Linked DNA regions of Astyanax mexicanus. The protein of the gene in region 1 interacts with the protein of each later gene in a biochemical or structural test. Links are inferred from orthologs where the notes say so. Each region holds a gene or a part of one and is shown on either strand. Other genes may lie near its edges. The genes, in order: gab1 and grap2a.

The links.
Region 2: the proteins of gab1 (region 1) and grap2a form a complex in vitro, tested with the Homo sapiens proteins (2 studies listed by BioGRID and IntAct, with this or other methods). The link is inferred for Astyanax mexicanus from reciprocal best matches to the Homo sapiens genes GAB1 and GRAP2.

Annotation. Positions count from the first base shown.
Region 1 is NC_064414.1:48,869,612-48,881,872, reverse strand, and holds the start of gab1 (GRB2-associated-binding protein 1), read right to left. Parts: upstream 5,180-12,261; 5' UTR 4,681-5,179; intron 3,325-4,680; 5' UTR 3,264-3,324; coding exon 3,192-3,263; intron 1-3,191. UniProt on the Homo sapiens protein: Adapter protein that plays a role in intracellular signaling cascades triggered by activated receptor-type kinases. Plays a role in FGFR1 signaling. Probably involved in signaling by the epidermal growth factor receptor (EGFR) and the insulin receptor (INSR).
Region 2 is NC_064426.1:7,148,180-7,161,098, forward strand, and holds the start of grap2a (GRB2-related adapter protein 2a), read left to right. Parts: upstream 1-6,538; 5' UTR 6,539-6,661; intron 6,662-12,919. UniProt on the Homo sapiens protein: Interacts with SLP-76 to regulate NF-AT activation. Binds to tyrosine-phosphorylated shc.

The DNA.
Region 1 (12,261 bases):
TTGGTCAATTCCAAATTACCCATTTCTTCATATATGGACTATAGAGACCAGTAATTCTCAAATCTGTCTGCAAGGTCCCCCTAAGCCCACCTCAAGAGTTGAGACGTTGGGATAGAGCAAAAAGAGGGACCATCTAAAAGTTAGCTGAGAACCACTGTTACAGACAGTGGAGGAGTGGGCAGCACGTGTTGAAACTAGCAGAGTTGTTTACACAGTCAGCCAATGTGAGTGACAATACTCAGACAGTTTATTTAATACTTTGAGCCCACTAGGTTTCTAGTGATTTCCGCAGAGATACTGGTGCCAGCTCTCACAGAAAAAGCCAAGAGGCCCACAGCAAGGGGATATGCTCCCTATTCCATCCAGAGCAAAGCAATGCAGGTGCTAGCATGGGTCGGGTGAACCGGTTCTGATAAACAAGAACCGCATTTGCTTATCTGCCTTACATCTGCAAACCACCAAGGCAAGAAACTGAAAGTGATGAGGCGGTAAAGAGCCCAAAGTTTTAAAAAACATAGTGGCTTATATTTTGCAATAACTCAAAAATCAACACATTTTCTAGGGATGTCTCAACCCATTTTTTTTGGACAATGCTGATCCGACCTTTTAGTATCTATAAACAATACATCCACGCAGTTTAGATAAGATAAATAGTGATTAACATTGAAGTAAAATAACTTTTAGTGATTATTTTAAGCAATAGTTTATGTGTATAATTAAGAGTTTAATGTGACAGTCTGGACTGTTTGTTTAGTAACAAACTTTTCTTAAAAATTACAATTTTATAATGTGTTTAATATCTAATAATTTAATCTGACTAAATATTAAAACATGCCTTGATCGGTCCTAGTCAGAATCAGGACATCTCCAACAATTACATGCATATAAGCAGTAAACAGTAGTTTAGTTCACCTAGTCATGGTGAAGTTATAATCAGTGGCATCTTTTTCACTGAAGGGTCGGACAGCCGTTCTTGTGATTTCATTTTCCTCTCAGAAACAGAGCTTACAAACCAGACTGAACCCAGTTTTCTAAGCATGGTTAGCTTATCATGTCATGCCATATCATAATTACAGTGGATAAAAGAAATCCAATAAAAAAACAACGCTTGTGCCTACAAGAGGTCAGCAGCATATTTGGCTGAGGCTTGACAGCAGGGTGAGCCACGAGTGATTTCATTACAGATTAAAAAGGAGGTATATTACATCCTGCAACTTATGGAGGACCGTTGACCCGTTCAGTGTTATTAAACAGATGTTTCTAAGCATCTAACCGTCTTCTCACTGCTAAAACAGTGGCATAACCACTCAGAAGTTCAACTTCTGCTTTTAATACTTCAAAGCTGGAGTCTTTTGTAACACAGCTGACATTTTCCCAGAACAAGCATAAATAGTGCACTGCTGACGCTGAAGATTTCAACCATTTCTCCTGACGCTGGACTATTTATGCCCCTTTTAATGGAAGATCTTAGTTTTGATATGCTTTCTTTTAGCATGAGGTTTGCCCTACTCTACCACCAAGCAAGCCCACTGAGTCCGTAAAGTATTATAGTAATAAAAATAATAATAACATTTAGACATTCATGCAGTTTAACAAATTGTTCTATTAGTTAAATACATTTTCCCTCAATGTAAAACACTGTTCCTTCAATACAGAAATCAAATTTAAAAATCGGTTTAAACATCAATTTCATCAATTGAATAAACAGCTTTTCTCAGTGTACATATTGCTAAAATAATGGAACGGATTGCTAAATTGAAGGAACAGATTATAAAATTAAGGGAATATATTGCTAAACCAACTGAACAATTTGCTAAACTGATGAAACGAATTGCTAAACCGAAGGATCGGATTGCTAAACTGATGGAACAAATTGCTAAACCGAAGTAACAGTTTGCTAATCCGTAGGAACAGATTATTAAATTGAGGGAAAAGATTGCTAAAACGAGGGAATGGATTGCTAAATTGAAGAAACAGATTGCTAAACCAAGAGTGGATTGCTGGGGCACCGAGTGGTCCAGCGGTCTAAAGCTATGAGCAGGAGGTCGAAGGTTCGAGCCCCCACTCATGCAGCTTTGCCATCAAGTTGCCAAGAGCTCAGAGGGAGCAAAATTTAGATCGCTAAATTGAAGGAACAGATTTTGAAATTGAGGGAATAGATTGCTAAACCGAAGGAACGGATTATAAAATTAAGGGAATAGATTGCTAAACTTATTAAACAAATTGCTAAACAGAAGGATCGATTTGCTAAACCGAAGGAACAGTTTGCTAAACCGAAGGAACATATTGCTAAACCCAAAAGAACAGATTGCTAAACTGAAGGAATGGATTGCTAAATTGAAGGAACAGATTATAAAATTGGGGGAATAGGTTGCTAAACCGAAGAAACAGATTGCTAAACCGAAGGAGTGGATGCCTAAATTAAAGGAACATATTTTAAAATTAAGGGAATAGATTGTTAAACCGAAGAAACAGATTGCTAAATTGAAGGAACAGATTTTAAAATTAAGGGAATAGATTGTTAAACCGAAGAAACAGATTGCTAAACCAAAGGAACAGATTATAAAATTGAGGGAATAGATTGCTAAACCGAAGGAATGGATTGCTAAACCGATGGAACGGATTCTTAATCTGAGAGACCAGATTTTTAAAGTAAGGTTTTTTTTTTTGTTTTTTTGTTTTTTCTACCTGGATATATCAGGGGCACTCTACAAGTCAAATGTGCTCTTTTAAAGCAAGAATAAGACAAATACACCAGCTTTTACCACAAACAGAGAGTCTAGCCTACATGAGGAGGAGGTGTGGGTAGAAATGAAGGCATGACTGCACGAAATATAGACTTTAGTGTCACACTAATTGTGTGTTTGGATGCTGTGAGTGTTGTGAGTGAGTGAGGGAGGAGAAAACAGCAGCACATGCTAAAAAAAAAAATACTGAAACATCTAGCTAAAATATTGACAAGTAAACATGTCAGCACACACCCAGGACAGGTTTAGGGGAATGTAGCAGAAGTTAACCTGGTGCCAGATTCACTAATTTCCCCTCTCAGGTAGCTGGTTGAGCTCGTTTTCACGAAAGAGCAGGCTTTATCTGCTCTAGCTGTTAGAAAGCAGGTTATTTGCATGGGTACTGGCTTTGTGGTCAGCCCCCACAGACCACAGCACATTTGAATAAAACTGAGATTTACTTACATAACGCCGTAACTTCTTCTCTGGTGGAGACTTTCTGAGCCAGCCGGAGCACACCACATCCCCCCCACTCATTTTGTTGCTGCAGAAAGCTTCCCCTTTCTGTCCCTCGAAGAGATCTGGGACGCAGATTGAGCTGAAAAAAGGAGAAACACAGTGGTGGGTGAAGGGTCAGTGTAATGTTTATCAGTTCAATTTCCTGATCATATGAGATTCCCTAGAAAATAGGAAATTGTGTGTAAAATGTATTTTTTTTGTTCATTTAGTATAGTGAAGAAGAAATTCTTCTTCTGATTTTTTTTTCCATTGTGTACAAATGTCTGGATTATACTGTAGCTGGGAGGTTGGGGACTGCAACGCAGACAATAGTCACAGTATCATGATATCATAGTTATTGGGGTACACATAGCAAAAACTTTAAAATGAATGAACATTAGGGATGCACAATGATATAAGAATTATATCAGTATTACTGTATGCCGGAAAAAGACCAAGTGAACCTGACTGCACTACTACAAACTAAAATCCATTAATTTAAGCTAATTTGTATTTATTCATTTTTTTTACATTTCATCACCTCAGTTGATCAAACCATTTGATTCTACCCCTTTAGGATAATGTCAGAAGTGTATGCCTAAGCAAAATGTGACATATTGTTGCAATTTTAATAGCTTTCCAAGATGGAGCTACCTTCACTGAAATTTACTTCTTACGAATAAACATAAATTATAATGCAAAAGAAATATGCAAAGAAAACAAGTTGATATTTATAAAATTAAGAGTTTAGAAATAAATATTTGTTGGAATAAGCCTGTTTTTAATTACAGTTTTTTTATGCATCTTGGCGTGTTCTCCTCAATCAGTCTTACACACTGCTTTTGGATAACTTTATGCCTTTACTCCTGGTCCAAAAAGTCAAGCAGTTCAGCTGGGTTTGATGGCTTGTGACCAAAATGTGTTCTCAATGGGGTAAAATTAAAGAAATTCAATATTTTTAAGTGGTCTCTTGCTTTTCCCCCCCCAGAGCTGTATATATAGGACTATATGATTGTTTATGGTTGATTCTAACGTTACTGCTCATTTTTAAATAGTCATAACAACTGATGAAAAAGGTCTCTTGGCTTTAGTGTTAGCTGAATAACTTAAACTGAATTAAAATTAGTTTATGAGGCGATTATTTTAGGAACGTATCGATGTGTGATATCGGGTATCGGTATCCCAGAATTTTCACATCAGTACACCTTTAACCCAATTTCTTCTCTTTACCAAACTAAGTTAGCTAACCTAGCTAGCTAGAAAAATGGAAATTAGCTGCATAGCTTATAAAGTTGTACAGTCTCAAACAACATAAACATAGGTAGTTTGTTTATTTTTTCTGGTCATATGGTCAAAAAACGGACCTAGTAACACCTAATAAACGATATCCTCGTGGTTTATAAGCAGTGTAGAAAGTTTAGAGGGGAATAAGAGAGAAAAACAGGGCAGAAAATACCGTCAGTGCTGAGCTTCTCCCAGCGTCTCCTCCTCCTCCAGCAGCTCAGCCACAACAGCCAAAACTCTCAGCTACCAACTCCTTCCTCTCGCTGGGAAGACTCAAATCCGCGTTAAAACACAGAATAAATCCAGAACATACGCGTGGAAATAAACTCCAGGCTTAATTACCGAGAAAAATCCGCACTTTTCGCCTCCAAACACACGAACACTCCTCCGCCTGCTTAATCCAGCAACTTCTCCCGGGCTGTTCCAGCTCTCCCGGGCTGTTCCAGCTCTCCCTCTCTTTCTCTCTTAAAAACTACACATTTCCACACATTCCCGCCGCTTTTCCTCTCTTCTCCAGCACATTTCAGCCGCCCAGACTCTCTCCGTCCGCAGTTTGAGCAGAAAATCCTCCTTTTCCGTCGTGTTTTCCCTCCCCGCTCCGCTCCCGGGTGACTGACAGCCGATAACCGCCGATACTTTTCCCCTAAACTCGCCTCGAACTCCAGCGAGAGCGCGAGCGAACGAGCGAACGAGCGCGCGAGAGAGAGAGAGAGAGAGAGAGCGAGACAGGGAGAGAGAGAGAGAGAAGGGAAGCAATGCACCATGGGAAATGTAGTCTTTAAGCGATAGACAATACACAATACACGCAGTACAATACACGTTTTAACTCAACTAAACAAAAAATGTGAAACGTTATTTTATATTTATTTATCTTTAGATAACAATGCAACAATCACTGACGAAAAAAGAACTGAAAAAAATATTAAAACCAGGTGATTTTTGAGAAGCGTTTTCATCATTCCCGTGTAAACTACACTTACCAGAATCCATCTTGTACATGAATCCTAGTAGGTAAATTGATTTTTTAAAATTTGCATTATTTATTATTAATATTTTAATGGCTATATTTATAAAAGTTAACGTTTACGTCTAATATTATTAAATCTACTAACTTACTATATGTGTGGATGTTTAAGATATATTAGGTGTTTTGTGTGAAGACAAATGCTAAGAGGGACAGTAGTTCACACTAATTCACTCTAACAAAAAAAAACATTCATATATTTGTGTTTTGATAGAAAATCTTTAGTTTTTGTCCACTCAGATTCCTATGTCCAATCTATTTGTATAGTGTAGGGAGGAAAAATGCACATTTTCTATCTCCAGTATTTTTACACTTTTTCTCTTTTGTTGTATACATTGATATGTGTATATTTGTCGATTTGTAAATTATTGTGTGTATATGCTTGCACTTTTTGTATTAAGTGAGATATTTTTATTTATAGTTGATGGTATTATTATAGTCAATACTGTAATTTTCAATATATGGTTTACTGCTCTCTTTTCTGCAGCATTTAAAATGCACATTCACTCTTTTTTTATAAAAACTAGAAAAAGACACAGATACACATAGAACTCTGTAACTATAAAAAGTAGAAGTCTTTATTTAGAGAATTTACAGATGAAGCCAGAGAGCGGTGAATACTGTTTCCTACACCTTTAAAAGACACCTTTAAAAGACTCCTGGAGAAACTGGAGAAAATGGGTACAGTAAGAGTCAGGTCTAGCTGACCCACATGGCAACCGCGCCTTTAACACAGCTTAATATTGGACTAAGTCTCAGTTTCAGCAGTGAGGAGAAGAGAACAATAGGGGTGTTCTAAAACTTTTGACCTTTTTTTCATAGGACCTTCCTCCTTCTGTATATGTTTATGAATATTTTGTGTATATTTACTACATTTCCTGTTTTATTTAGTATGTTTACTCCTGTTTATTTGTGTAAGCCTGCTGCAGAGTAGTTACCCTAAGCCTCACCACAAGCAAACAATGCATGTATGTCCTGACATATTGTGCAAATAACAAATAAACACTGAATCTTGAAACACAAAACACTAAATCCACTATGCTATGCATGCTTTTATATCCATATACACTATACAGAGTACTGAAATACATAACTGTGCTAATTTTAGAGTCAATTGTGTATAACGTGTTCCTGATCCTGTGCTGCACAGTCTCTTCCAGTGTTTTCCCTCCAGCTCTCTCTTCCCTCAGTCAGAGAGACTGGTATGGCAGGAATGCTGTTGTAATGGGAAACGCCTTCTCCAATCAGCTCCACTAACAAAGGCCTGCCTGCTCACACACACACACACACACACACACAGCTCCAGGAAAGCAGGCCGCTCTCTGAAGCTCTGAGCTGAGGAGCATTGCTCAGCAGATCCCTTTGTGTTTACGAATCTTTCAGTGCAGATTAGCTATTCATCATGTGGTAGACTGTGTTAGAACTAGAGTAGAGGATTTGCACACTTAATTTAGTTACATTTACATGTCTTTCGTTGAAGAAAGTGTGACCAAGTCTGCTCTGTTTGCAGATTCAGCAGATAGGCTTTAGTTAATGACATTAGCAGTGCAAATAACATAAGTTTACACTGTCTACTGGAACCAGTTCTACACATGCAATATTCATCAATATTTTCCTGTTTTCTTGTTTTTCAATTCAAATCAATATACGTTTATTGTCATTACACAGTGTAACAAAATTAAAATTAGGTAGAGAGTTTATACTTTTCTATAGAATGAAGCAACAAATATTGCAGATAAGGATAGAGACATTTCGGTCTCTGTGTGCTAAGAGAGTGTGTGTGAAGAGTGTCGAGAGTGTTGGGTGTGTGGTAGTGGGGGGTTGTGGGGGCTGAGGGGTTCAGCTCCGTCTCTGTGAGTTGAGGAGTCTGACTGCCTGGTAGATGAAGCTGTTGCAGAGTCTGGTAGTGGAGGCTCTGTGTGTTGAGGAGTCTGACTGCCTGGTGGATGAAGCTGTTGCAGAGTCTGGTAGTGGAGACTCTGTGTGTTGAGAAGTCTGACCGCCTGGTGGATGAAGCTGTTGCAGAGTCTGGTAGTGGAGGCTCTTTGTGTTGAGGAGTCTGACTGCCTGGTGGATGAAGCTGTTGCAGAGTCTGGTAGTGGAGGCTCTGTGTGTTGAGGAGTCTGACCGCCTAGTGGAAGAAGCTGTTGTAGACTCTGGTAAAGGAGGCTCTGTGTGTTGAGGAGTCTGGCTGCCTGGTGGAAGAAGCTGTTGTAGACTCTGGTAGTGGAGGCTCTGTGTGTTGAGGAGTCTGACTGCCTGGTGGATGCAGCTGTTGCAGAGTCTAGTAGTGGAGTCTCTGTGTGTTGAGTAGTCTGACTGCCTGGTGGAAGAAGCTGTTGCAGAGTCTGGTAGTGGAGGCTGTGTGTGTTGAGGAGTCTGACTGCCTGGTGGAAGAAGCTGTTGCAGAGTCTGGTAGTGGAGGCTCTGTGTGTTGCGGATTGGTGGGGTCGTTTTTGAATAGATTATTGAAATCAACCAAACTAAACACAGCTTTATAATAATGTAATATAACACTAACTCTAGTTGCTCTAATTTCTCTCTAGATACTTTATAAGGCATAAAATGAACAGGGAATAAGCCCAGCTTGAATGCACTTTGAAATAAGCAAAAAAATATATATGTTTTTACAAATTGCATCAATCTTTTACTTTTAAAAAATGAGGTAAATCTCATTTTTTCTGATATAGGTCTTTTAAGAGTTGTTTTTGATACAAAACAAGCTACAGACAGATCCTAAACTCACAGGAGAGAGATTGAATTAGAGCCTTTGCTTTGCTGAGTCCATTTCTGAGGGAAAGGTCCGGGGGTTCAAGCTTCTGCGAAAGATTAAAACATTTATGAGGGACGCATTAAATCCAGTGGCATTTTATACGGCATGCAGGGACGCGTACGCAGGAAAGAGCAGCCAATCTCAAACTGCTAGTGCTGCGCACTAAGACTGGCAGGGCATTAGCTGCATATTATGAAGGGCTATGTTATTTTGTCCTCATTACTCTTAGTTAGTGTACAGTTTAGTGTACAACTGTTCTGCTGCAGACTCACATTTAAAGTGACATTCTGTAAGTTTTTGTTTTACCTCTCTGGTGAGAATGAGTAATGGCACAGAGCATGAAAAAGAGCATGTTTAATGCAGATGTCAAAATGCGAAGACTTCCTTTGCTTCCTTCACTTTAAAATAAAGGAAACAGCTCAATGTAGGATATACAGTACATGCCTTTTAAATACCTAGAAGATGTTAAAATTCGAAAAGTACTGATATTTACTGAGTGACTATGTGATCAGTTGAGTTTGTGCACTTTTGGAGACACAACACAAGTAGAGTGTAAACTGTATAAGTTATCCCAGTATATGTATATATATGTATATATATATATATATATATATATATATATATATATATATATATATATACATATATATATATATATATATAAATATACTGATATTTACTGAGTGACTATTTGATCAGTTGAGTTTTTGCACTTTTGGAGACACAACACAAGTAGAGTGTAAACTGTATAAGTTATCCCAGTATATAAATATATATATATATATATATATATATATATATATATATATATATATATATATATATATATATATACAATTTTACATACAATTAGATTGTTGATTATACTGATTAATCATTGGATGCTTATTTCCAATGCAGTAATACTACTGCTTTAAATTTAATGCATATTAAACTATCTGATTATTAGTGCTCAACACTCATCTGAATTGCAATGCAATGCTTACAAGCCTTCCAGAGCATCCCTCACTATCTTTAATAAACTCCTGAAGACAGAGCTCTTCAAAGAGCACTTACTCTCCTAACACCTCTAACTAACTACCTTCTACTACCAGATCAGGAGAATCTCTCACTATCTTCAATAAACTCCTGAAGACTGAGCTCTTCAAAGAGCACTTACTCTCCTAACACCTCTAACACACTACTACTAACCTCATTTCCTTTTTCCTCGCCTTTCCTTCTCTATCTTACTATTGTCAAAAAATATTTTTACCTTGAACTTCTATGTTCTCTATTGCTAATTTACATCATTATTGTAAGTCACTTTGGACAAAAGCACCCGCTTAATTTAATGTAATGTAAAGTAATGTAATGTAATGAAGCCAATAGCAGATGTCTGTTATTATAACAGGCCCAAAAAGGGAGGAGGCACAGAAACAGCTTCAGATTTCTCACCACCTCCTACTTTCTCCCTCGGCTGGATTAATGTAGGTTAGTGGGAGTGGGCCAGAGTGTTGATGTGTCCTTGTGAAATGGCTGTGAGAAAACGCTTGGTTCTCGGTTGCTGAATAATTGAAAGCCATTGATTTTACCAAATGGTCTTGGAGGCAGCGCGAGTGGCGCTACTCCACAGCACACGTTGCAAAGCTAATGGGCTTTTGGGGGTGGATTTAAGAGCTAAAACGATGCCCACCCCTCCCTTTAAAAACCACAAGACTGGCTTCGGTGCATTATACATATGAGCATCTCCATTAAGAAATGCACCTTCAGAGCACTCAGCTTCTATTTAGAGCGAATGGGGAAGTTCCAGGCCCGAGCCTCGAGGCAGCGACACTGCACGCCGCTCTGCCCGCCTGGGCTAGGGTTCATCTCAGGACACAAGGGCAGTGACTCAATTAGAGAGATTGGCAGAGGGCAGACTGCTTCTCCAGGCTGCTTGATGCATATAAAAGGTCTTTATATATACACTATATGGACAAAAGGACACCTGCTCAGTAATTGTTTCTGTTGAAATTAAGCAATTTTAAAGAGTTCACCTTCTTTTGCTGGAGCAACTGTCTCTATTGTTCCAGAAAACCTTTCTTTCTGGTAGATTGTTCAAGTTCAACTGATGTAAGGGTTTAATTGTATTTGGTGACAAGACTATTAGTGAGGTTAGGATGTTGGATGATCACTATCCTGCCTCATTCCCAACTCCCCAACTCCTCCATTCCAAAAGTACTAGATGGATCAGTCTAGAGAACACTTTATCCCCTCTCCCCTCTTTATTCTTTTGAAAATTGTCCTTACAGTGACTAGATAAGCAGTGTGTGTTTTTACATTTGTACCAGGACTGTTTTAAGGCATTTGGGGGCCCCAAGCAGAATTGAATTGAGTTTTGGTGTGCTGTTTCCATGATTTGAAAGTGAAACTAATGTCAGTTAATCAGTAGCTTTATCCATTCAAGTGTTAAAGACAATGATGTTAAAGCAGGTGTGCATAGATACTGCTAAACATGTTCCAGTCTGGTTGTATGCTACTGTCAGCAATTAGTGGGAGGGGCCCCTTGAGTTGGATTCTGATAACAGTGTGGTTGTAATTTTCTGCATTGACCAGAACAGAATTTACAGAACAGAACTCTTCAATTCATAACCAGTTTCAATTCTGAAAGAGCTCTATACAGCAACGCTGACACTGATAATAACATTTGATTCCTATCGTCACTGTCCGATGAAAAACAAGTATCTCCATTTTTGTTAATTTTTAGATTACTACATATTTTTTAACAAACCAATTGTCCCTTGTACTGTGTTAAAATTGGTTGATATATGGACCAATAGAATTTCTTCAAAATTACCTGAAATAAACTTTTTACATGGACTTCCATTAAAAGTTAAGGTTTTCTCTCTCTCTCTTCTGTATAGTTGTAGATGTTTTGGAGATACTTGTTTTTCAGTGGACAGTGACAATATGAATCAGTGTTATCCTTGCTGTATGGAGCTCTTTCAGAGCACACTCAGTGCTGGTCCTGAACTCCAGGATTGAGAACCGCTGGTTCAAGCAAAAGCTTCTGCTACATGAAAAAGGAACAAATATCAAAATTGAATTTCTCTTCCTTTATTCTGAAGCAAATCCCATTTGTTATGAACCCAGACTGCTGAAATTACACAGGGCTATCTGAGGTTAAGAAAAAAATAGCTTTGCTTTCCACACGTCCTCACCACAATTACCCCAAACATTTCAGTTATCCAGGTCCCAGAGCTCCACAGCTGGATGCACTATACCCACTGGTGGTGGTGGATAATGACAGTCTTTTCAAGCTCAAGCCATAAGCAATATCATTTAAAACACTACAGAAAACCTTAAACAATGAATTCTGAACAGTAGCTGCTTCACATCTTAACAGTTCTGACCCGTTTATTGTTTATTTGAGTGGCAACTCAGCGAGTTAAAGCAAAAATTAACTTATGGATTCTTATATTCATCTTATATCTGAATAAGACAAGAATCAGGTTGCAGGAGATGCTCCATTAGATGCTCTGAATAATTAGCAGCACAGTAGAAAAGTGTTACAGTCAGTTATCCATATGTATCCATATTTATAAAGCAGCTCACAGCAAAATCAGTCCCACTTTATTTCATATTAGACCTTCATTAGGATGAAAAAGGCAAAAAAAAAAAAAAAAGAAACACACCCACTGCAGCACTCTTACTTTGGCAAGTCTGATAAATTAATTGACATTATGGCCCACTGTCTGCATGATAAGTCAGACAAAGTCCATTAGAAGCACTTTAAAATCATATATACTGTGCATATACCCCTGTACATACTGTGTAATGAATCAGACATTGCTTCTTGGTGAAGGTTTTCTATTGTTAATCAAATATTAACACTGTACAGCAAGCACAAGGCTTATGTTTCTTGTTTAATCCAGTCAAATCATCCTGTAAAACCTTTAACTGTGTATCAAAAGGCACACAAAAATCTTAGATCTTAA
Region 2 (12,919 bases), on another chromosome or scaffold:
TCCTTATTTTCTGGTTTTGATGGTCACTTTCATTTTCATTGATTAAAACAAAGTAGTCTAAAAATCAAGCTTGACAAGCTCTTGAGATGACGGCAGTATGTGGACAGGCATTGTCTTGTTGAAATAGTGCACTGAAGTTTGTATTTAAAAAAGGTAGGAGGGCTACTGGTTGCAGGACCTTATTAATGTACCACTAGGCTGTCAAAGTGTAACGAAAACTAAGCATGATCTGCAGTTGTGCAAAACTGCACCTCACACCATTACACCAGGTTTTCTAGATGTGTAGGACATGACACAATATAGTTTTGATTAATACATCCATTGCGCCGTCAAAATTACTACTACACTTAAAAAAAAAATGATGCGTAAAATTGACTTAAAAAAAAGGTTTTGCAACTTCCTGCATTTGCTTTTTTTAAGTAAGTTTAATTTTAGATAAATTTAAGTAACTTCAACTCAGTTTCAATACTTAAATGTTAGACAGAGTAAATAAGTGAACTAAACTTCAGTCAATCCTTACTTTAATTAAACTTCATTTATTTTTGCAAAATCAATTCTTTCTTTTAGCAAACTTTACTTCATTTCTGCATACAATAGTACCTAATTACAACTACTTAAAGTATACAATATTATTGTACATAATTTTAGTTAAAACACACATTCAAATATTTACATAATCTCAAAGATTTATTTTGTAAACAGACCAAGTCTCACCGTCTCCACACATGGATGGCATGTAATACATTTTTAGTATACTTTATATATTTTTAGTATACTAAAAATAATGTATTACATGCCATCCATGTGTGGAGACGGTGAGACTTGGTCTGTTTACAAAATAAATCTTTGAGATTATGTAAATATTTGAATGTGTGTTTTAACTAAAATTATGTATAATAATATTGTATACTTTAAGTAATTGTAATTAGGTAATATTGTATGCAGAAATGAAGTAAAGTTTGCTAAAAGAAAGGATTGACTGAAGTTCAGTTCACTTATTTACTCTGTGTGACATTTAAGTCTTGAAACCGAGTTAAAGTTGCTTAAATTTACATGAAATTAAATTATATAAAGGATCCTTCAGTTTGGAACAGTCTTTTATGATGTAGTGGCCAAAGAAATGCAGCCTAACTTGGCTCCAGCCTAGACTTTGGAACACAGTCTTTAGAGTCCAACAGTATATGGTCGAGCATTGTCCTGTTGGAATAGTGCATTGAAGTGTGTACTCAGAAAAGGTAGAGCCACAAGCAGCAAATATCTCCATTTATTAAAGGACCCAGTCAGGGCTGGACTGGGGAAAAAAATCGGACCTGGCGTTTTTGGTTTTGACCGGCCCCTTATAATTAGCGTAGCACAACCAACTTGTAATTTATGTATGTGGTGTTACAGAGAAGCATAACGTATCATTAGCATATTAAATATCCATTAAATATTTTTTTCTGCTGTGTGTAGTGCAATTGATTTTTTATCCTTCTTATTGAAATCATCTCTAATATGTATTTTTTTTTTAAATAAACAGATCTTAATATTTTTTTTTTTTTTTAAAGTCAACCTGAAATTTAAATCTGACCTTGTGTACCTCGTTAATTCCTGCCCCGGTCCTATTAATCACAGCTCATCATGTTCTCTCATTTAAAAGTCAAAACCATGTTTTCCTCCAACCTTTTCATTTGACTTTTGGAGCACATAGGGCACCTTATCCCATCCTTTCACTTAACAACTAACAGAAAGTGCTGAGCTCTCTTAAAGACACCCTGATACTCAGAAATGAATCATGGTATAGAACAGAAACCAGACGACCACTGTGGTTCCTTATTCATATTCACTTAGAAAGAAGAATTTCACAGATTTTCCTTATGAAGCCTGACTCTGCAATCTAACACAGGCTTTTTAAGCTGGTGCACTGTAAGCCTGGATAAGTTGAGTTTACTTAAAAAAAATTAGGAAACTGGTTGCCTTAACCCTTGTGTGGTGTTCATATTTTTGTTACTCGTTTACTTTGTTACTTGTATTTAATTCAGCAAAATTAAGCAATTTTACATTAAAATGCTTTACATATGCTCGCTTCACCTAAATTGCAAGCAATATAAACAGCTTACATGGTTAATATTTGCCCTTTACCTTTCTTATGTTACATTTCTTTTCAATTTCTTTTTATTAGTTTTTTAATAAAATGTAAAAGAAAATGAATTAAACTCAAGATATAAGTAGAAAATTTGTTTAGTTTCAAATTTACAAATGAAGCAATGTTTATTAACCCTTGGCCAAACATACTGTATGTAATATAAATGTGTAGGGGGGGGGGGGGTGGGGGTGTACAGTGTGTGTTTATCGAAAATGTGTTTTGATATATGTTTTTCACAAAACATGAGCCAATGAGTTTGAGTTAGAAAAAATATTTTTTTAGTATCATTTGATGAAAAATAAAAACACCACACAAGGGTTAATAATTAGTTAAGTAATGGGGAATGAAAACTTAAGTTAGCATAACTCAAAACATTAAGTTATTACAACTTTTTTATTTTAGTTATACTGTAAGACCGGATAAGTTCAGTTTACTTCACTTTTTAAGGCTTGCTTCTAAGGTTTGTCAATTTGTTTTTTTTAAGCAATGGGGGATGAAAACTTGAGTTAACTTAAATAAAAAATCAAGTTATTACCACTAAAGGGGAAGTTCATTTATTTCTAAGGAAGCCCAGGGGATGGAATCACTACACACTGATGGTGAGTGTTTTGTCGGAAACTGTTGGACACACCCAGTATGCAAATAGATTGTGACAGAAGCCAATGGAAAAGAAGCTGCCAATAGCAACAGACTAAGCTCAGATATGATACAGTCATATGAAAAAGTTTGGGCACCCCTATTAATCTTAATCATTTTTAGTTGTAAATATTTGGGTGTTTGCAACAGCCATTTCAGTTTGATATATCTAACAACTGATGGACACAGTAATATTTCAGGATTGAAATGAGGTTTATTGTACTAACAGAAAATGTGCAGTAAAAAAAAAAGTGGTCTCAATACAGTGCACTTTGCACAAGGAGAAGCTGTATGGGAGAGTGATGCGAAAGAAGCCATTTCTGCAAGCACGCCACAAACAGAGTCGCCTGAGGTATGCAAAAGCAAAAGCAAAAGCACACCTCAGGCGACTAAAAATGATTAAGATTAATAGGGGTGTCCAAACTTTTTCATATGACTGTAAGTTGGTTCAACTCAAATATCTCAGTTTGAATAGTACAGTATATGTGCTCTCAAACATTCAACTAACTCAAAATAGTTGAGTATTGTTTAGAAATCTCCAATTTTATGTAAAACAGACTTAAATCATTTGAGTTCAAACAGCTTATGGGTTTACAGTGTATACAGTTTGGAAACACCTTAAATTTAAGGGATCTGTAGATCAATACTAACTTCATCCAAACTATGAAGAGAAACATATGGAATTATTTAATTAACAAAAAAGGAAATATTTTATATTTTAGATAGCTTACTCCGGCTTACTACAATGGCAGTTTTGCACATCTTGGTATTTTCTCAGTTAGCTTCATGAGGTATAGAGTCACCTGGAATATCTTAATTTTTTTGCTCTCCTAATGTGTTTAAGTGCATCAGCTGTAAAGTTGTGAAGAGGTAGATTTGGTGAATAATACAGTGAATAGCTCTATTTGAGTAATGTTATTAAAAAATTAATGGCAGGAATTAATCAACTAAGTAAAGACTTTAAAAAATGACTTTAAGAAATGAAGGTCAGTCAGTTGCAGAGACCATCAAAAATGTTATGATGAAACTGGCTCTTATCAGGACCCCCCATCCCTGGAAAGGAAGAGCAAGAGTTTGCTCTGTTGCACAGGATTAGTTCATCAGTGAGTGAGTTACCAGCCTCAGAACCCACAAGTTAACAGCTCCCCAGATAAAAGAACCTAAATGCTAAATAGAGAGTATTTTGGTTTATTTAACACTTTTAACTTACTACATGATTCCATATGTGTTCCTTCATAGTCTGGATGATTTCAGTGTTCATTTACAAATTGAACATTAAGCATATTAAACCAATAGAAATATTGAATAATAAGGTGTGTCCAAACTTTTGACTGGTACTGTATATGAACAGTTAATTTGCAAAAACAGATAGAAGCCATTTTTTTAAGCATACAGTACAGGCCAAAAGTTTGGACACACCTTCTCTTTTTCAGTGCGTTTTCTTTATTTTCATGACTATTTACATTGTAGATTCTCACTGAAGCATCAAAACTATGAATGAACACATGTGGAGTTTTATGTACTTAACAAAAAAAAGTTATTTTCTAGTTTCTTCAAAATAGCCACCCTTTGCTCTGATTACTGCTTTGTACACTCTTGGCATCATTCTCTCAATGAGCTTCAAGAGGTGGCCAGAGGTTCCCAGAGGTGTTTATTAGCACTTGTTGCCCCTTTGCCTTCTTCACTCTGTGCTCCAGCTCACCCCAAACCATCTGGATTGGGTTCAGGTCCGAGGACTGTGGAGGACAGCTCATTTTTTTTTATTATTTGTTAAGTACATAAAACTCCACATGTGTTCATTCATAGTTTTGATTCCTTCAGTGAGAATCTACAATGTAAATAGTTAGAAAATAAAGAAAATGCATTCAATGAGAAGGTGTGTCCAAACTTTTGGCCTGTACTGTACCTTTAATTATTTATTTATTTATTTATTTACAATTCATATACTCTTTGCTATCTAACACCCCGTCAACAGTCTATTTTCCCACCAATAAAATAGCGTCTGAGCTTAGGAACAAATCTACACTGATGGTGTGGTGTGATAGTCTGGAAGTGAGTTGTGTTCAGGAAAATGTATAGCTTGTTGCTATTTGGATGGCAGAAAACATAGGAGCGCCACTGACTGAAATGAACCTAGACAACAGTCAATCATCAGAGTCCATTCCTATACAAGCCCGCTCACTAAACACACACACAGAGACGCAGTGCAGAGCTCAAACCTGACTTTTAACTCAACGATAAACAGAATAAAGTATAAAATAATATTGCTGTTCTCTTAAATGCGTGAAAAAAAGCATGAACATGCAGATCAGTATCCCCTGCTGAGACGCAAAAAGTGCTGTGCTGTTAAGATACGAACGTGCCAAAGTCAGAGCTCACCTGCCTCTTAAAGGTAATGGTAAGTGTCATATTGATTGGTTTATTTCACGTTAAGCTTAAAATACACACATGATTGGTTAAGAGAATTAGTACACACATTTTTTGCACCCTCACAATACCAAAGACAAACTGACACGCCCCTAAATCCAGCTGCGTGATCCGCAATTGACCAGTGTACTGTAGATCACTAAAATAGGGCACTACATCTGTATATGTACTACAATAAATTTTGTCCATATCAGTGTAAATTGTTAATAATTTATCGCTTCTCATAACCTTTATTTTTCTTTTGAATAAAATTGCAATGTGACCCTTCCATGTGGGTGCAACTATTTTTTTGTTTGTGTAATTACTCTCAAATAAACAATAAGAGTTATTGCTTCTTTGTGTACGAGAAGTACATGCCTATCATATGACTGTTCTTTTATATATAGAGCTCTGAAAAAAGAGACCACCTAAAAATGATGATTCTCTTTGATTTTACCAAATTGAAAACCTCTGGAATATAATCAAGAGGGAGATGGATGATCACAAGCCATCAAACCACCAAGCTGAACTGCTTGAATTTTTGCATCAGGAGTGAGTAGCATAAAGTTATCCAAAAGCAGTGTGTAAGACTGGTGGAGGAGATCATGCCAGAATATGCCAATATGCATGAAAACTGAGATCAAAAACCAGGGTTATTCCACCAAATATTTATTATTTCTGGACTCTTAAAACTTTATGAATATGATCTTGTTTTCTTTGAATTGAAATGAAGTCTGAAAGCTCTGCATCTTTTTTGTTATTTCATCCATTTCCCATTTTCTGCAAATAAATGCTCTAAATGAGAATATTTCTATTTGTAATTTGGGAGAAATGTTGTCTGTAGTTTATAGAGTAAAGCAACAATGTTAATTTTACTCAAACATAAACCTGTAAATAGCAAAATCAGAGAAACTGATTCAGAAACTGAAGTGCTCTCTTAATTTTTTCCAGAGCTGTAACACTTCTTAAGTGATATCAGCACTACAATAGTAAATCATAGGGCTTTTTTTTTTGTTTGTTTTAATTTATTGTTAATTTTATGTACAGTATCTTATACCATGTGAAAGCCCCTACTGCACTGTAAACCATGTGAACATTTCATCATGAACAGAATTAGCATCACATATAACAACAACCGAAACTCACAAACCACAAAAGACCCCCAAACCCTGCAGTGAATCGATACATATATATATGAACGGTATATTTAGACGGTGGCAGAATGCTTTTATGAAAATAGCCGTAGCACGTATTGAGTCTGATGTATAAGCAGGCACTGAAAGTTGATGTTGGACGGTGAGATAAGTTGAATGGTTTGCTTGTTCTGCCTCTCACTTCTGCATTTTGGCTCTGGGGTTGAATACCGTGTCCTGGAAGGAAGCTAAACTCAACAGCACTGACATTTGAGGAAGGAGGCTGCTGCTGGCTGGAGAGGAGCTACGCAAAAAAAAAAAAACAAGGCTCGGATTGCTCTGCGAACCCAAAAACACCAGGGTAGGTTCTGTATCTCTTTCCTGCAAGGTGACGAACTGTGTTTTTTTTTTTGGGAGTTTTATTGTTAGCAATGAAAAACAAGTAAAATGTTCATTTACAGTGAACATACTTGGCTGAATTGAGTAATATAACATCAGAGTTAGTTGTGCAGTTGAAGTTGTGCCATGAGTAAGGTTTTTCTTAGTGAAATTTGGGTCACACTTTACTTGGATGGTCCATCTTACAGCCTTGTTGATGCTCAACTGACATTCAACTAACACTGAATTGAATGTCCTTTAAATTGAACTTAACCCTATGTTAAATGTAAATCATTCAAAATAGAACTTAACCCTACATCTAACCCTAACCTTAACCCTTAATCAACCCTAAAATCTAACCCTACACCTAACCCTAACCTTAACCCTTAATCAACCCTAAAATCTAACCCTACACCTAACCCTAACCATTAATAAACCCCTTAAAATCTAACCCTACACCTAACCCTAACCATTAATAAACCCCTTAAAATCTAACCCTACACCTAACCCTAACCTTAACCCTTAATCAACCCTAAAATCTAACCCTACACCTAACCCTAACCTTAACCCTTAATCAACCCTAAAATCTAACCCTACACCTAACCCTAACCATTAATAAACCCCTTAAAATCTAACCCTACACCTAACCCTAACCATTAATAAACCCCTTAAAATCTAACCCTACACCTAACCCTAACCTTAACCCTTAATCAACCCTAAAATCTAACCCTACACCTAACCCTAACCATTAATAAACCCCTTAAAATCTAACCCTACACCTAACCCTAACCATTAATAAACCCCTTAAAATCTAACCCTACACCTAACCCTAACCATTAATAAACCCCTTAAAATCTAACCCTACACCTAACCCTAACCTTAACCCTTAATCAACCCTAAAATCTAACCATACACCTAACCCTAACCTTAACCTAAGCTTAAAATCTAACCCTACACCTAACCCTTACCTTAAGCCTTAATCAACCCTAAAATCGAACCCTACACCTAACCTTAAGCCTTGATCAACCCTAAAATCTAACCCTACACCTAACCCTAACCTTAACCCTTATTCAACCCTAAAATCTAACCCTACACCTAACCCTAACCCTACCCTTAACCTAAGCTTAAAATCTAACCCTAAACCCAATGCTAAAATATTGGATTAGAGCTGAATGTAGGGTTATATTTAATAGAGAATCATTTACTTTCCCCTTTTAGTTCATTTGCATTTAATAAACATGTAGTTGAATGTTAGTTAGGGCACAAAACAAATCCATGATTAATTGGCGTGACAACCCATGACAAGGCGTGAGGTGCAAGATGTATTTTTTTGTGCCCTCTCGATACCAAGGACACACAGACACACCCTAAATCCAGCTGCCTGATCCAAAATTAATCGGAGTCAGAGCTCAAAAGTCTTAGCTTTTTTTTTTTTTACATTACATCAGCACCTTTAACAATTTTATTTTGCAAGGTCTGTGTTTAAAGTAGACTTAATTTTAAAAAACTGATTAATGACACTTTTTTTAACTCTTTTGGATTACCTTCTGCTGAATAAAAGCACGTATAGCAGTTTGGGAACTACAAGGTTGGAGCAATATTCAAAAATGTCAAGAAATGTCAGACTACCTCAGAACTGTCTGCAAGGCCTCAGTTTCCACGTGTTCAAATAAATAGTGCCAGATCAGGAGATGGCTAAACTGTAAGAATATCATTTAATTTTCGTTAGCTAATTCCTCAGTTTGTGATGCTTGGTTAGGTTAAAATCTGAAAGACCAAGACTCAAACTCTCAGAGAATTTTCATTTAAAATAAATAAATCAAAAGTATACTGTCAAAATAAAAGAAAATCTATTTGTTATATATTATTTACTATACAATTCTTTAAAAACTAAATACGCTTTTAGATGATAAGTTTTAGCAGTTTCTGTAATTTTACATAAACATATTTTTGTTATGCTGATATGCCATCATCACTATTGAAGCAGTTACAATGCACAAGAACACTTTGCCCCAATAATCAAAAATAAATGTACAATAATAGTCATTTTTGGCAACAGGAAGTCCTAAAAATGTCTATAAAACATGTCTATAAAAGTGACTGGCACTCCTGATAACAGAAAATGCAGATTTCTTACATGTATTTTTATAAAAGTTTGAAATAAAATGACTAAATAGTTGCCAGTTTTCAGAGACAATGTCCGACACGGCTGCTGCCACAAAATTACAGTTTTATTTTGTATTTTTTAGCAGCATATTGCAGTCTATTGACACTTAAACTCCACCTAGCAGTGGCGTGCACAGACACTTTGGGGGGCAAGTGCTCAGGAGGGAAAAAGGGCACTTTTTAGCTCATGTGGAACACTTCATTAAAATAAAAGTTATCTATCATTGATTTGGGCTAGAGCGGCTAGTTTATCTGGTGACCAGTCGGTTAAAGATGCTTAGTAGTTTGGTGCTGTATGAGACATTTTACTGCACAACAAACTGATTTCACGTTGGGCTTAGAGGGCAAACGGTAGGATTTTACTTGATGTGTATGTTACCTGGCTGGTGGGACACGGAGGAGAAGAAGCTGTTGTTATCTGTTGCTGTGCGTACTGTGCTGAAGACTCGCTGAACTGAACTGCTGCTGCAGCGCATCTAGTGTGCCTTGCGCGCGACGGCCCGGGGTCACGTGACAGAGGAAGAGAGAGGTCGGGAGTGTGCGAGCTGATTTCAGGGCATTCTGTTTTCACTCGTTTTTAATCGCTCAGGTTTTCAAAAGATCATTTATTAAAAAGATCACTTAATAATATATATATATATATATATATATATTTTTTTTTTTTTTTTTTTTTTTTTTAAACAAAGTTTCAAAAGGACACTTTGGTTAATAAAGGGCAGAGTTGATGTCTATGTCTGCACGCCTCTGCCACCTAGTCAGTAAGTACACTGCACTGACACTTTCAAGGACAATTACATATTTAAAAACTAATCCTGTCACTTTACCCGCACAAAGATACATTATCACTTTATTGTGTTTATGCTTTTCATTCACACTTACGTATCCATGATGCTACAGCAAAACTTACACTCTGAACGTAATGTTGCTGCTACTTCTCTACTATATTTTATTCTATTCTATTCTATTTTATTTTATCTTTATATTTATCTATTTTAACAATTGCTCTTTGGGTGTAACTGGACCGTGAGAATACAATTTCGTTCCAAAGTGTTTTTTATGAACTGAACATGCAAACGTTTGCTTTTGGCCTCTTTTCTTTTTTGCTATTTTAATTATTTTATTTCAGAGATCGATTCATTTTTCTACTGACAGTAAAAGGTCATTGGATCAGGGGTCACTGAAACGTGTGCATGCTGCTGAATATCAGATTGCAGGTGTGAAGACCTGAGCAGTGTTGGTCAGGGTCAGGTTTTTATACCCAGAAAACTGGGTCAGAACATTTCTGGGGTGGGGTTCTGGAGTGTCCCTAGTCAGCAGTGGGTAATTTTTTGCCAAGAACGTTTGAGGAAAGACAAACCACAATCCAGAATCAGGGTGAGGTTTGGGTGCGCACACTTTAAACTCTTTAGTAGACAAGTGTAACTAAAGCTTTAAGCAAATCGTATTCGGTTTTTCAAATCGGATCTGTTTAGATGACAGAAAATGTCTGTATGGGTAGCTGTGGCTGGCTTCTTAAACCCCAACATCTCTGTATCTCACGCGGGCCAGACGAGACGTAGACATGCGCAGGTTTTTAATGTAAAGTTTATGAGCAAAATGGTAAAACTTTAATCAATCAATTACTCAATCAAGCGATCAACCTTTATTTTCACTCGGGAAAACATTGAGGGTGACCCTCATTTACAATGTTGCCGAGCGTTTACAGCATCAAAGAGATTGAAAACATTTAATAAGAAATTAAAAAAAATAAGGAATAAAATTGTAAAAAATAATAAATAAAATAAATACTCATTTTAAATCAACATTTAATATATATATATATATATATATATATATATATATATATTCATAAAATATATATGTAAAATAGAACATTCTAAAAGACCATAAAAAACTAAATTGACACATAAAATGTTAAGAATTTATAAAATACAAGAAATAAAAAAAAACTAAAGAATGATAAGAGATGATAAAATGAACAATAATGAAGTAACATAATATAAGAATCGAAATATAAAACATTAGAAAAAAATAAAGTAAAAACTAATAATAATTAAATTAAAATAAATAAAATACATAAAGAAAAATTAATAATAAGAAAAAGATAAACTAATAAAAATAATAATTTAAACAGTCACCACCAGGCTTTCTGGTGGTGTTTAGAAAAAAAAAGTTAAAAATTATTCAGTGACACCAGCGAGTTTAGTTTCAACATTTCTAGCTCACTGGTGCACTGTAGCTAAAAGCAAAAATTTTCCCAGTTCACTAAAAACTCTTGGTATGTGACAGGTGATCCAGCCACTGGAGTGAGTCTGATAATTACTGTTATTAATTGAGATTAGAGAAGATATATAAACTGGCAAATAGGCAGAAAGTGATTTCTAAATAAAAATTAGCCAATGAGATTCTCTGCGTGCAGTTAGTGAGGACCAACCAACTCTATTATATAGTGAGCAGTGGTGAGTAGTGTAAGGGTTGCCGGTAATAAATCTCAGAGCAGAATCTTAGGTAGATTGAGTCTAATGGTTTGAAAGCACTGGCAGACATTTTTTATGAATTACATCACCATAGTCCAGGACTGCTAGTATGGTTGCCTCCACTATTCTTTTCCTAGTGTGCACGGATAAACAGGATTAATTCTGATGAAGATAATCAAGCTTTGTGTGCACTTAATGGTGAGTTTGTTAGTATGGGATTTAAAAGAAAGTTTTTAATCAAGCCAGTGCTGAGACATTTATATTCACTGTCTTGTTTGATGCTGGATTCAGGGATGTCAGGGTAGTAATAGTTATGGAATTTGGTTTATTAGCATTTAAAACCAACTTGTGTTTTAATGGAGCAGTCTGTAGAGTGTTAAAAGAGCGTTGAAGCTTTTTTAAAGCAGTGTGTGCAGAATCTGCTGAGCAGTATAAGATTGAATCATCTGCATTAAGGTGTATTTTGCAGACTAAGGTAGAGGCGGTAAGATCATTGATAAAAATATTAAATAATATTTAATAAAAAAAATTACAAGAGTTATGTGGGACAGGCATGGTAAATAGAGCAGCAATGAACAATGTACCAGAGAAAGCAGACTAAAAGGTCATATACGGGAGGTCCAAAACAGAGCAAGAACACAAGGCAAAGGAAGAGTAAAAAAAACAAAGCAGGGTCTACACCAAAAGAAGATAGAAAGAACGCGATAGATAGAAAGAGTTATGAAAATAGGTTCAGTACTCTGCAACGAGGAACAGAAACTGAGGGGTATTTATACAAGGGGAAACAGGAAATGGCAATTGGAACAGTCACGTGATCCGGAGGATAGAGCGCAGGTGCACACAAGAAAATGTAGTCTTTAAAGCAAGAGCTAGAGTCCAGGACAGACAGACTGACACCGTCACTCTGGATTCGATAAATCATTGAGTTTCAGACAGTCATTGTCCAGATTGAGACACATTTGTACAAATCACAATTGCAATCGCATTTTAAACCACCACAAAATGTGGTTAGGATCAGATTTGCAAAAAAAAAAAAAATAATACAAAAAAAAAGGGATGGCATGTTGTTTCTGGCCGTACAGCCATCTAGATATGGCAAAAATCAGATTTGGGCTGGCAGTCTGAACATAGCCAAATGGTGCTAATCACACATGATGTACGAGCCATGATTTTCACCTTCATGCATTAGCTTGTTACTGTAGTATGGTCAGCTAACAAGGTTGATGTCAAATAAGTGTCTAGATAACTCAGAACATCCTCAAGACACACTGTAGTCTGTTCGCACCTGTACTTTGTACTGGCTACTAGACTTGGGGTTGTTCATTCAGTTAATGCCAGGTCTAAACGGGGTCTCCAGCCTTCTCCAAATGTAGTTTAGTAGTGAAAAAAAAGTATATTTAAGGATACTAAGTATTTCGTAAGTAGCACACTTCTAGTATACTTCGTTGGGCATAAAAATATATTTTAATATACTGGGTAACACTTTACTTGGATGGTCCATTTGATGGCCTCTTTGATGCTCAACTGACATTCAACTAACATTCATCTACATCTCTATTAAATCCAAATGAACTAAAAGGTGAAAGTAAATGATTCTC